Linked DNA regions of Drosophila melanogaster. The protein of the gene in region 3 interacts with the protein of the main gene of each other region in a pairwise test. Each region holds a gene or a part of one and is shown on either strand. Other genes may lie near its edges.

Region 1 (3,313 bases), on a different chromosome or scaffold from region 3:
TGGTCTGAGACATTTCTTGTTACTTGAATATTCTTTTTTTTTGGTGCACAAATCGTAAGATGAAGTTCGTTTGTTTTTGAAAACCAAGCCAACGGACGCCGTCTAATGGCTGGAATAGAAATGAATGCAAATTTTCAAACTATTTTTACCCGGAATCCCTCGCTTTTGAACTTCGATTTAGCCATTAAAGTGGGTACACTTCATGGCAGCTGTCTGTCTTACTGTTTGACAGTATCGAAGGCACTTCATATCCAATTTCAGGCTATTGACACAATGAAGCACCCTTGAGTAGTACTCCGCTGGCTTGGAAGAACATAAAACGAACTAAATAAATAAACTGGAAACCTCATTTGGAGCCATAAAAACGAACTTTCGAATGCAAACCCACAGTTGAAGTCGTGTTTTGCCCCTTTTCCAATCAGCCCCATTGAAAAGTTTAGCGACAATGAAATCCTCCGAATGCTGGATACGACCCCCCGGGGAATCAGACCTCCGAATTCCCATCAAAGGATTACCTCAGTCTGTCAGCGCATTCCATTCTAAGCCTTGGACGCTGTCCTGTTGCCACGCGGCTAAATACTTGCCCGAATTGGGGGAATGCCTTTCATCTCCATAGCATCAAAATCTTAGAGAGATTCCGATTGGGAGCAAAAAGCCGGCGTAATTATCCGCGCAGGTGCACTGAACCCTATTCAGCAGGAGAGCGGAATACGCAGCAGGACTCCCAGAGAGTCACTTATAAACAAAAACAAATGCATGCAACAGATTGGAGGAGACTAACGGCATAAATGCTATTTCGGTTGAATAACTTAAATAATAAATGATTTGACATTGAATACAACTAAGCAGAACATTTTTTAAATATATATAACCTTAGAGAATTTCTAATTAACAAAACTAAAAAACTTAAAATTTAAAAGAACTTTGTGACAGGTTTAAAAACCGAGTTGCTAACCGGTTATTTTCCGAAAACGGTTCGTGTCACGGCTGTCTCGAAAGCACTGTGTATAATATTCAAGACATCCACCAGCAGCACATAACCGTTTCGAGGGTTGGAGTAGTAACTAAGAATTCTCTTTGACATAAGTTAATAATATTCTAATATGCTAATATTAGGATTCTAATAATATTCTAATATTCTGGAATGCTTGTTCTCTTTGCCACAGTCAAGAACTGCACAGCTATTTTTGAATTTATACAATATGTTATTATGGTAAAAAATAAATTAAAAATTTGTATTCCTATACCAAAATATACGTAAACCGGTTATTTGAGCGTGCTAAGTATTAGTCTTAATCCAGTTCAATTCATTTGGTTAGCTATAGGTAACAATAGATTATTATCAAAAAATCTGCAAATTGGTTAAAAAAAAATAATTTTTTTATTCAGTACGATATGCCTGATCTAATCAGATTTGAAAGTCAGAACATCAGATTTCACCTCAACAACCCCCCAGCAAGGACGACCAATCGGATCGCACCAAACTGTTGCCAATCCAAAATGGCCTCTAAGCAGATGCTGCCATCCGCCGGGGAGGAAAATCCAATAAGCAAAATTCGGAACAGCACCGAGCTGACTTCGCAGCCCGTGAGGACAATCAGAATTTATTGCAACACAGTCTTCCAAGCAGAACAGACCCAAGGTCTTCCAATTGCAGTATCATCCAATACAATAGACAGTCATGCAGCATCCACATCCCATTGACCAGCCCACCTACATGCCGGATGTTCCATTCCAGCCGCTTTGGGGTCAGGAGGCTCCACCGCCGCCCATTGTTCCATACCAAGAGCTCATCGCCGGTTTTCCCTGCACCGACTTGTGTAAGTACCTCAAACGGAATTTGGAATTTGGAATGGAAGTGCTTAAGATGTTTTTCTATTCTAAAGCTCTGTGGCAGCGCTCGCAAGTAACTCCTTTGGTGCCCCAGCGTCCGTCGACAAATGGGAGGGCCAACGGCTCCTCCAGCTCCTCGAAGAAAACGCGTCGCCGTGTGGCATCAATGGCCCAACGGAGAGCTGCAAATATCCGCGAACGCCGTCGCATGTTTAACCTAAACGAGGCCTTCGACAAGTTGCGCCGCAAGGTGCCCACCTTCGCCTACGAGAAACGACTGTCCCGCATCGAAACCCTTCGCTTGGCCATCACCTACATCGGATTCATGGCTGAGCTGCTGAGCGGCACGCCCTCGAACTCCCACAAATCGCGGTCCGACGTCTATGGGAGTATGAATGGTCACCATCAGGCGCCACCACCGGCAATTCATCCACATCATCTGCATCCGGCGGCGGCATATCAACGCGATTTCGCTTCGCCCTATAATCATAGTTTGTCCTAGTGACATTTCTCAGGAAATCCAATATTCAAATAAATGCTAAAACTGCTTCTCGTCAGATCAGTTTTGTTAAAATATTGTAATTATAGGAATAGATAAATAATGTTTTCTTAAAACTTTATATATTGTTTAAAAAGCAATAGAAATATTAAAAAATATTAAAAAGAAAGAAATTTATTGTTTCAAATGTAATTTCTTTAAAAAGTGAATTATGACTGGTCACATGAACATCAAGAATTTATATTCATGGGAGCAATTAAATTAGCCAGAACATTGAATTTTTGCACTTAAATGGATACTGTAAAAAGATATTTTTTGTATTGCAGTTATTATTATTATTATTTGTGATAGAAAAGGAAAAGGAGAGGACAATTAAACAAAATCAGTGGATAATCCAATTTAGTTTTCGAAATGGTAAACAAAGTGATTGTCTAAACTGGGTGGTGACTTTAAAGCCAAAAGTACCACCGAAGTACACCTGATAATCCCCCTAAGTAGAACCCGCACTTGTTTTAAAAAAAAAAACCCAGCCAAAACCAAAGCGAACCATGTCGTGATTTGCGTGCGAATTTGTGCAGCTGGAAAGGCAACACATGCCCAGGTCCATTCGGTGGTCCCAATGAAGTCACATTGCATACAAATCACGAATGGAAAGAAAACTATTATACAAAATTTGACAAGGCAAACAAAGCGTGAAATTATTATTAATAAATTGATGCACTCGGAGGGGAGATGCCAAAAGGGAGGACGGCAGTTCAAAGTCAATTGTAGCAACCCCTAACCAAGGACAACCCAGGAACAAGTGTAACACTTGAGGGATTCCCCGCAACCGGGCTAAATACCAAGGAATTTTTGCGTTCAACGCCCATCGCGAACAGATTAGCGCCCTTTTTTCCGGGCAGCAAATTAATTCGGAACGGATATTGCATGGACATTGGGATCGGAAGTCGGAAAGTGGGCTGCTACCTGGGGGTTGACTGC
Region 2 (5,287 bases), on a different chromosome or scaffold from region 3:
TGGCGTTATCAATTCCGCGTACTGTTAATTCATTCTAAGCGAATGTATAACGATAAACAAAAGCAAAGGATGTGAGGATTTGAATCAAAGGCATAGTAAAGTATTTTGGATGGAATTGATTATCAATCAAGGGCTAACTTTAAAAAAAAAATATCTTTGACAAATTATTGGGCCAAGTCCGTCTTTGTATAGTGAAAACAAGTAACATAGTTTCCGACATACAAGCTATGCTTGATTTTTGAATCGGATTGGGTCACTACTTGTCCTCCGGCGAGGCGGAGGTGGCCATTTTGGCGAAAGACCGCGGCGGAGTGGGGCTGCGTTTCTGCAGGGTACGCATGCCGAGCGAGTAAGCCGCCGTGTCCCCCGAAGCGGTGTCCGTATCCGAGTACTCGTCATCGCTCTCGCTGGCATGTCCTGCATCCGTCTCGTACGGATCCACCTCCTTCTGATACACGTTGCTCATTTGATCCGTAAACACATCCGAAGCGACGACCCCGCCGTCGTGTTGATCCTCGTTCTCATAAAAGAAGTACGACAACTGCAGGTGCTCCTCCGCACAGTTCGTGCTCAAGGCGTCCGGAATCAAGTGGCCATTCGTCTCGAGGCGCTTCTGAATCTTTAGGAACATGTTCGGTGATACATCCATTTGGGGCAGCGTCTGCTGCGCCTGCCACTTCTCCAGCAGCGGCGGATTGGCTCCAAAAACGCCGTAGTACAGCTTGCAGGCGCGAAAGCAGCGTAGTCGGTTCGAATTTGGGCGAATGCGACGCAGCACACGCAGCTGTGACTCCACCACGTGCAAAAACATGTATTGCTGATTTCGGTTGGGCAGCGAGGTGACCAGCACCGCACGACTGGTGTTCAAACAGAGCTGAGGCAACGGTTGAGGCCACAGCGAGTGCAGCAGACGCTTGAAAAGCTGCGTTAGCGTGGAGTTTTGGAAGAAGTGGCGATCGGGGGCATTTGTCGCCGCTCCTGCGGGACGCCAACGTACTGCATCAGCCCAGATGCGAGCGGCGGCGCCATCGAACATGGTCAGCCCCAAATAACGCATGCAGCGCTGGCAGTACAAGTGATCGTCGCGATTGAGCATGCACGAACTTTCTTCGTTAAAGTTGATGACCACATAGTTGAGGCCATAGAAAAGATCCGTTTCGGCGGGCACTAAGCTAATTGGTTGGGTCTTGCCCGCTGGTCCATGATTGTGGCAAAAGAACTCAGTGGGATCCACCAAGAGGCTGGGAAACTCCCTCAACCTGCGATAGCTTCGGCCTGCCACCAATTCCGCTCGGCAATCACGACAGTTGATAGTGATGGGCTCGTTCTCCTGGCAGGAGAGGAGTAGTGGCGCCAGAGGCACGTCCACAGCGCTTCCATCCACGCTGGCCAGATCAATCTGGTTGTAGTTGAAGCGGAAACTGATGTTCCTGCCACTGACCAAGAACGTGGACAGGCAGACAATGTCCATACCATACTGCGCGTGCCGGATGAGCATCAGCTTGTCGGAGTCCTCGCTGTCGCTTTCGGAGCTGGAATCCAAGTCGATTGCCTGATTCTTAGGTTTCTCGCTGATATAAACATTGTAGTCGCGGACGACGACGCGAGTCTTCTGGCTCTGCGAAACCTGTTGGTCGAATCGCAGGAAGACCACGCCGCTGCGTAGGTTCGGGCGCAGTTCGATGCACAGCCCGGCGATGGGCATCTTGACCAGTTCCTGGGAAAGCGCGAGAAGATTGTGAACACCACCAACAAAATGGGCCTATCGTTACTTATGGTTTTTCGATATTAAGAGCGTCACTCGACAAAAACTATCGATTGTCAAGAATGAATGTCAGTGTGACCGTCATTTGAAAACTGGGAAATCGTACGCGGAAAACCGATACTATTGACCTTATCGAATATTCAGCCGAAAATGATCGAAAACCCATATCGAGTGTGTGAGCACTATCGCTGACCACTAACACCAACAACGTTTAGGAGCAAAAGAGTCGACGATGCGATGGGTAAAAACAAAGCCCCGTGTAAAAGTGTCCGAAAACCGTGCGTAGCATCAAACAAATCGTAACTCGGCCAGCGAATCTAGGTGCCGTTGTTTTCGGGGACGCGTGTGCAGTGCCGTTTTAAGTGTCGGTAATCGCCAAAATCCACAAAAAATTTAAGGATTTTTTAAAAAAACGTTCGCTAAACGCATTTCGTTCGTTCACTCACACACACACGTAAACCTAACACACGCACAGACGCAGACAAACACAACGCGCAGCGCATATACACACACAAAGAAAAGAAGGCAGTGAAAATCGACAAGCGCACGCATGCACACACACACTGACAAGCACGCAGGCGAAAAAGTGTTGATATATATCCAATATATTGATGTTGTGTGCAACGTTGTTGTTGCTGCTGCTACTGCTGTGTGAGTGAGTGAGGGCGAGCGAGAAAGAGTGAGTGCGGTGCGCGCAGGATAAAGCGAAGATGAGCCACAAAGCGAAGGAGTGAAAAAATAATTAACGGCAAAGCGGACTGCAAAGCGCAGAGCGGATAAAAGAGGAGCGTTAACAACAATAACAACGACTGGGGGTCCCCTGCAAAATCAACAACAACAGCAAGAACCACATCAACAATAATAACAGAAGCAAGAACATCAACAACAAGAACTACAACTACAAATTGGCCCTCTTATTTCGGCAGTCGCATAGCATAGCCCCATCTCGCTCTCTCGTTCGTTGGGGGATACGAAAAAGTTCACATGCAACAACAACGACAACAAACAATAGCAGTCGCAGTCGACGCGGGCAGAGGCAGCGACAGAGACCGCGGCGCACTGAACGTATTTTGTACATATAAACAAAAATAGTTTTTAAACTCCCCAAAATCTAAATCTAAACCTAAAGTTAAGTCTAAAAGGGAAACTTAGAGCCCTAAGCATAAATCTACAGTTAATAAGTTAATTAAAAGCAAGCGAGTCCGGCAGTGTGCTTGAGTTTGAAAGGGGAGAACCGAAGGAGAGGAACACAGCGAGAGAGAAAAGAGGAAGAGAAGAACGCTCAAGAGAAATTCGCCTTTTACACGATTTTAAATTGAGCGTTTGGCAGAGATCCATTATACATATACATCCATCCAAAAAGAGAGGAGAGTAACAGTGAGAGAGACGGAGGAAGAGGAAGCTGAGGAAAACAAACAAACGGGGGAGCAGCTGAAGAAGAAGAACAAGAATCAGCTTCAGCAGTAGAAGGAGCAACTGTAAACACACACAATCTCAGCCTCACGCTGGCGAATCGCAACGGCGGCAACAACAACAGAGGAGGAGGAGGCGGCGGTAACAACAACAACAATGGAGGAGGCGGAGGAGCGGCTGCAGTCGGCGCTGGCGCCGAAGGAGCAGCAGGAGGCGGCGCAGGAGCCGGAGCGGCGGGCAGAGACGCTGCAGGAGCAGCGGCCAACGAATGGAATCCGGAGGAAATGGACCGCTTCAGCTTCGACGACTCCATCCGCTTCGAGGAAGACTCCCTCTGCAGCTGGAGCTCTGAACCGGAATCGCTGTGCAACAACTGGCGCGGCTGGAAGAAGCCCGCTGCAGGCAGCGGCGCAGGCAATGGCGGCTTGAGCGGCATGGGCGGTATGGCTGTGGCCGGCGGCTCAGGAGCACCGCCGTTCGGAGGAGCAGGAGCCTCTGGTTCCTGCACACCGGGCGGCAATGGAACGGCCATGGCCAACACATCCACCTGCGGCAGACATTATGGTGAGTAGCATCTCCTTGTTGCTAGGGCGGGATTTAGGGCAGTGTACCCGGACCATTGAGCATTACACCAGTGAAACTACAGTTGTGAAAATCACAGATACAAATCTAAACTGAAGAGAGCTTCTTAAAATCCGAAAAACATTGTACAACATTGACAGTTTTTAGAGTTCGAAAAGTGTGCGTCCTAAAGATATCAAAAAAGTATCCTCTTTTATTCAGGAATTAAGAAAGACTTTCTCATAAGAAGCTTTCATATGTCGCATACAAAAGATATTGACTTCCTTAATTGTTTTTAAAACCATAAGGCAACCAAAATAGTTTATACCTATAACTTTCCCTTTACAATGAGAAACTTACATGTACATTTTATACAGATTTATATCCGTATAGCGTTAAATAATCAATTACTTGCTACACAATTTACTTTTTAAGCTAAGTAGAGTGATATGCTTTAGTTCTATGTTTTACTAGCTTGGTCGCATTTGGCTATTTGCAATATGGCTACACTGTGCTGCCTGTAATTATACGCATGACCTTTTCGCTTTTGGTAAATTCTGTAAAATTGACTTAGGCACAACAACGAGCAGGCTGTAATTGTTGTTGCCCTCTGTCTGCAATTGTCTTCTTCGTTTCCCCGCATTTCCTCGAAGTCCTCTGCTTATCGCTGAAGTCAAAATCACGACTTTGGCTGCCAACGTTTTTTATTTTCATTCGTTTATACGAGTTTCCTTTTTACCTTTTTGTTGCGTCCCTTTGTCTTTCCCTGTGGCTCATTACGCTTGTGCATGTGGCTGGGGTATTGTTTTTTTTTTTTGTTTCGGGCCTGCCAAGAGACGTTCCTTACACGTTTTCTGTATCCTGTGCGCCGCCGCACAGCACTATCATCATGTAATATCTGGATATCTGGCTGCGACTGCGCAGTTCGTCCTCGTCGCTGTTTCTCTTTCGTATCCTCCATTCGTCTTCGTCATTTGCCCATCCACTGCATTCGTTTGCTTATTTTCCTTTGTTTGACTGAGCAGTGTTGCTGTGGGGGGAAACAGGACTATATTTGGAAGGGTCAAAGGACTAAACAGAGCGGCAAAGCCGCCAAAGAACCTCCAACCATTCAGTTGTCTTCTTTGTGGATTCTTTGATAGCCAGGGTTACCAGCTTGTTGATTTTATTGATATTTATTGATACTAAGCACTAGTATTACAAAATATAGTATATGTACTAGGCAAAACTAGCTGAACTTTGCTCAATCTTAATCATTTTTATCTTTCTGTTATGTTATACAAATCTTTTACTTCCTATAAACAGAGGAGTTAGCCAAATATCTATTTGTTCATATGCTGTTGGTTTGTAAACCTAAAGGACCAATAGATAGTAGCTTAAGCTATTCGATTTTGGCGGGAAAATAGCCAAAGAGCTAGCCCTGCGACTGGGTTTGTGTGTGTGTAGTGGCGAAGCCAGCTGCATTTTCATGCTCGAAAGACATAATAACCGCATCAAAAAACTATATTGCCTCAAAACGATGTCGCTGCTGCCAGCTGAACACGCTGA
Region 3 (5,374 bases):
TGTATCCGTGACTAACAGCCAACATACAAACAACATGCCCAAAATAAATTTAAGCCCGAAAATGGTGTCGCAAATCGCAAACTGAAACGTTCACGGAGCTAATTGTGCTAACAAATTTCCGATGCTATGGTACGTTTCGACTAAAGACAAACTAATAACCAACGGAAGTATTGTATTTATATAAATGTTGCCTAGAGATATCGATCGAAAATCTATAAGCAAAAAAATCTGCGCGCTGTTTGCATACATTAATCGCTGAGAAGATCCGCTCGAGCCTGTTTGTTTAACCCCGCGTGTGCGTTAACCCAATAAAAACCCAAAAAAAGAAAAACCATCATCAGCGATTGAGAGTCTACCACATGAGAACAATAATATTCTATGCGTATGTAAAGTTTTTCAATAATTCCTATTGCTAAATCGAAAATTGTGTACCGAGTTGTAGGCGAAACGTGAGAGAGATACAGTATCTATATATAAATATTTTAAAGTTATGCATACTATGTGTAAAAATGAAACGAATGAAACCATGTAAATGTCATTGCGTTATATAAGGTGCAATTAAGCCATCCTTGTAAATAATTATAAAGAAAGAAAGACATTCCCAACTTTGTTTTGTTATCAATTATTTGGATCGGAGCAGAGTCCAGTTCGCATTTATTATTAAATACTTTCAGCTTAGGACTAAGGTACAAAACGCCCTTTGAATATCAACTTTCACAGATTTCATTCGAAAGAGATTGTTTATACAATACGTTTAACTTTACGTTTTATAGACAAATAATTAAAAACTGTTGTGCGAATGTGTCATAATTTATAATATTGGGCAATTTGAATTTGACTCGAACTAATTCTGTGAAAGTGAAGAAAGGCGTTCGAATATTTTAAGCAATTCTCTTTCGGTGCTAGATTTCCTGTTTCGGCTTGTTTTGCGTCGAGGCGTTGCGCGAAATCTTCAGGATGTTGGGTGGCTTGGGTTGGTTTTTGTCCGCCTCGTATTGGGCGCGATGCAATCGCTGGCGATGCTTGTACATGTTGGCGGAGCAGAAGAATGTCATCGGGCAGTTGGGACAGGTGTAGAGTACTTCACCCGTATGAGTGGATGTGTGTTCCTACAAGAGGGGTTATACAAGTTTATCAATTAACATCAACTGGTCATGAGTTTCAAACTCACCTTGAGTTCCTGCGGCCGCTTGAAAGCCTTTTCGCACATGGTGCACTTAAACTTGCGCTCGCACTCGTGATTGTGGTAGATGTGACGCCGGAGAGCCCTTGCATTTGGGGACACCTTAGCGCATATATGGCAGCGATGCTCGCCGGCACTCTCTACGTGTATGCTCTTCATGTGCTGCTTCAGGCCGGTCATGCCCTTTAGCCAAGCGCCGCATATCTGGCACTGCTGTAGCTCCGGTTCCGGACGTGGCTTATCCGAGTGCATCAGCTCCTGGTGCTTCTTCAGGATGATCTTGGTGCGCATCTGCTTGCCGCACTTGTCGCAGATTATGGTACTCTCTGGGTCATGCATAGAGCTCATGTGGTTTTTCAGCTTGCGCTCGGTGAGAAATCTATTGCGGAATAGTAAACAAAAGGTGAAAAAGACATACAGACGCTTAAAGTATAAACCCACTTTTTGTTGCACTCGGAACAGGTGAACTTGAACTCGGACTTGGGCACATGCTTGTTAAGCTTGTGGTAGTCTATGGCCGTCTTGCTAAGGAAGGTCTTCGAGCAGAGGTCGCAGCTAAACGTAAGCTTAACGGCGGGATCCATGTGAACCTGCTGGTGCGACTCCAGGTGACGGGAATTTTGGAATGACTTCTCACAGACGCTGCACTTAAAGTGATCAGGATTCCAGTGGACGAGTACATGCTCGGCCAGCACTTTGCGCTGCGTGAACTTGCGGCCGCAGCACATCATGTAGCCGGGATCCACTTGATGGGTCAGTCGGTGATGACGCTGCATCTCGGTGAAGTTGTGCACCAGCAGATTGCAGATGGCACACGGCAGCACGCTGGTAAAGAACTTGGCGATGATGACGTCGTATTCTTCCTGCTGCTTTTTGCGCTGCTCCAGCAGTTCGCGGGACATGCGGACTTTCGGCTCCGCCGGTTTCGTCCGCTTCTTGTATTTCTTGGGGCGTACTACTGTTCTTTTTGGCAGCACGGCAAACTCTTGCTTTCCATTGTCCAGTTCAAAGTCTGAGTCTGAGTCGAAGCCATCGCTGCCTCCATCGTCCTCGGAGGAGTTATCGCTAGGCACCAGGCATGAGAAGTCAGGGTCCGTCTCCTCATCTACGAACTCGTCAAGCTCTTCTGCCTTAAGGTCAAGTTGAATGTCTTCTTTAGGTTTTTGGGGCGGGGCAACGGCAGCGTCTGATTTCCTTGGGCGACCACGTCGCTTTTTAGGCGGCGCAGGTTCTGCAGTCTCTTCTACTCCATCCTCGTCCTTATCCTTGTCAACACTTGATCCATCCTCTGCCTTCAAACGCTTCCTAAGGCGTCTGGCTGCACCCTCAAGTTGGTCCTGGTTTTCCTGGGTGTTGGCCGATCTCTCTAGGATCTCGATGCGGGGAAGAGTATCCAATTCATGTTCCTCAATCTTAATCTCTGGGTAAAAGAAGTTCCGACCGCCAAGTTCCTGTGGTTCCGTCACCCCTTCCTCCTCCTGAGTAGCCAGTTTTATAATCTCCGGAAAGGACGTAGTTTCCTGTGTTAGGGGATCATCCTCCATGAGCGCCACTTTTGTTTCCTGTAAAGAGCTCTGCGCTGCACTGACGAACTCGTGTAAAGTGTGGAAGTCTGAGACGATTTTCCAGCAGCGGCCGCATATCCTTTCGTCGCTTTCCTTGGAGATCTGGACGGGGAAGTGCTGGTTGACGATCGTAGTCACCTCCAATTGGTCGCCGCGCGCGGAGTGTACATCTATATAGTCCCCCATCATGGCCGGATACTCGCACATGCAGAGTAAACAGCTAGGAGAGGAATCTATTAAGATAGATAAAGAAAAAGTTTACAATTAGGACCACCAGCTTTAGGGGGAAATTCGATGCGGTCCAGCCGATTCCTTTACTGCCGCTGGCTTACCCATTGCGATTTGTAGACTTTGTTACAGATAATAAAAAGCCATTTAAGTGTTTGGGCGTAAAATGCAGTTTTTATTTACTTTACTAATTTGTTTAAAGCCGCAGTGCAATCAAAACGCCAGCTGTTTTGCAGTTCACAATAGCAGTGCAAGCTGCGGGGCCTTTACCAACACTGCCGATAACGATAGGCGATATCAAATCGGATTTTGGTCACTCTAATCGTTGTGCATTAAAAGTTATTGTTATTATTTACAATATCAAAGAAAAATGACCTGCTAATGCAGTGGGATTGAGTTATTCCATCATAAATTATCAAAGAAAACCATTCTTAATCAATACAATACAACGACAGGGTGAGAAATAGTACATACTATGAAATAAACGAATCGACCATTTGTTTACGTTTTACTTTCTTATTTGCAGAATATACGAATTCCAGAATGTCGGATTTGGGGAAAGATGTGGTAAGACTACTATAAACTGAGTGAAAACAACTTCTAAGTCCTTCGTATCCTTAGGCGAGCGAAGAAGGCTCCAATGGAAGCAGGGAAACCATTTGGTACACCATTGGAGAGCTTGTGGAAATGGTCGAGTGTCCAGGTTGTGGAATATCCATGGTATCGTTCAAAAATCGCTTCGCCCACATCAAGAAGTGCTTCAGCATCAAGAGACGAGGTCCTTTGTACAGGATTTATGGATATGCGGAGTGCAAGTGCGGCTTTCTTATTGCAGACACGGAAAAAGCCCGGAAACTGCATTGTTGTTCGGTAAATAAGCAGTGTGCTTAAGTATTGTAAGTATTACAAGGTTTCTGTTCATTTAGGGAAAACTTCGCCCCTGCAAGCCAATCATACCAACTGAGCCGAAAGTCCCGGTGACAAAACATGCTGAAGAACTAACATCAACTAAAAGGGAACAGGCTTTGCAGCCGTTGATTAGAAATTTTATCAGTCCCATCAAACAACAGGAGTTTCCATCTTTGGATATATCATATTCCAGTAAATATGATCCTAAACCAACATCGAGGCCACGCGTCCGTAACTTTGATAGACCACACAGAAGTCAAGCTCCAAAGGAAGTCTGTGTGTACTCCATAATTCGGAGGAATGGGGCTATCTCAGTGACAGGAAGATCCATCGTTAGGTACCGGGGTGGCAACGAAAACCTTGCCATACTTAAAAGGCGAGAATTAAAAATAAAATACGTATAACATAGTTATGTATAAGTAAACTAAGCTGTAGATAAGTCTGAATATTATGAAAGTAAATGTTGTCTCTTGTATTTATTAAGTTACATTTAATATTTTGCCTTTATTCAATCTTACCGATTGATGATAAGGCATCTATAAGTAATTTTCTTGATTAATGTAAACAAAAATAATTAATTTTGTAAATCAAAAGTTTTTTAAACACCAGCGTATAATGGTGTGTATTTAATGGTTAAAAGAAAAAAAGTGATAAGAAAGAAGTAGTGTAATATAAAAAGTATAAATGAAATTATATAAAGATAGCTATAAATTATGAAAATTCTATTGCATTTTAAATGAAGCGCCACATTACAGTTGAATTAAATTGGTTGGGTTAGGTTGGGTCTCCCACCTGGTCACACTGCACTCCGAGCAAAACAAAATAATCCACGTAAAAAACGTAATATCCCGGCGTTTATTTTTAAAATATCCGATGTCAGCCGCCAGGACGCAGGAATACGATTGCACCGCCAAGTGCAGACTCCGCCAGCATGGAAACGCCATCACCGCCGCGCTGACAAAGCGCTCCATTGACAACCAGAAGCTGGCGTCTTTTATTTTCAAGACTTGCGGAAACTTCGCCAATATTTTAGACGATCTGGTGCGTGGTGAAATTAGACAAGCCGTAGAAGGCAATTCATATGTTATCTTCATCTCGAAATTCTAGGGCCGCTCGGCGGTGCACATGTCCGCCTCCACGGCCAGGTACGAGATTTTGGAGTGGCTGCTGAACCACGGAGCCTACATCAATGGCCAGGACTACGAATCGGGAAGCAGTCCGTTACACAGAGCCCTCTACTACGGCTCTATAGATTGCGCCGTACTGCTGCTTCGTTACGGGGCCAGTTTGGAACTGCTGGACGAGGACACAAGGTGTCCACTGCAGGCAATCTGCCGGAAGTGCGATGACGATGACCTCGCCACGGATTCACAGTGAGTGGGGTGCAGGACGCTGTTGATTTCACACACTTAACTTATGTATCTTCCCATAGAAACGATGTCCTAGTGTGGGGCTCGAACAAAAACTACAATCTGGGCATTGGCAACGA

Evidence for each region. The genes of interacting proteins can lie anywhere in the genome.
Region 1: the proteins of CG4282 (region 3) and Fer3 interact in a two-hybrid assay, tested with the Drosophila melanogaster proteins (one large-scale study listed by BioGRID).
Region 2: the proteins of CG4282 (region 3) and Dora interact in a two-hybrid assay, tested with the Drosophila melanogaster proteins (one large-scale study listed by BioGRID).

Annotation. Positions count from the first base shown.
Region 1 is NT_033777.3:11,692,595-11,695,907, reverse strand, and holds Fer3 (48 related 3), read left to right. Parts: upstream 1-1,596; 5' UTR 1,597-1,681; coding exon 1,682-1,820; intron 1,821-1,886; coding exon 1,887-2,335; 3' UTR 2,336-2,498; downstream 2,499-3,313. UniProt on the Drosophila melanogaster protein: Transcription factor that binds to the E-box and functions as inhibitor of transcription. DNA binding requires dimerization with an E protein. Inhibits transcription activation by ASCL1/MASH1 by sequestering E proteins.
Region 2 is NC_004354.4:18,861,978-18,867,264, forward strand, and holds the start of Dora (dorado), read left to right. Parts: upstream 1-1,972; 5' UTR 1,973-3,462; coding exon 3,463-3,742; intron 3,743-5,287. Other genes in the region: CG7326 (uncharacterized protein), read right to left, coding at 257-1,705. UniProt on the Drosophila melanogaster protein: Substrate recognition component of a SCF-like E3 ubiquitin-protein ligase complex that promotes target-directed microRNA degradation (TDMD), a process that mediates degradation of microRNAs (miRNAs).
Region 3 is NT_033778.4:16,320,042-16,325,415, reverse strand, and holds CG4282 (uncharacterized protein), read right to left. Parts: upstream 3,231-5,374; 5' UTR 3,085-3,230; coding exon 3,081-3,084; intron 2,982-3,080; coding exon 1,625-2,981; intron 1,563-1,624; coding exon 1,172-1,562; intron 1,110-1,171; coding exon 903-1,109; 3' UTR 615-902; downstream 1-614. Other genes in the region: CG30096 (uncharacterized protein), read left to right, coding at 3,520-3,543, 3,598-3,846, 3,903-4,289; CG8060 (uncharacterized protein), read left to right, coding at 4,759-4,926, 4,993-5,258, 5,318-5,374.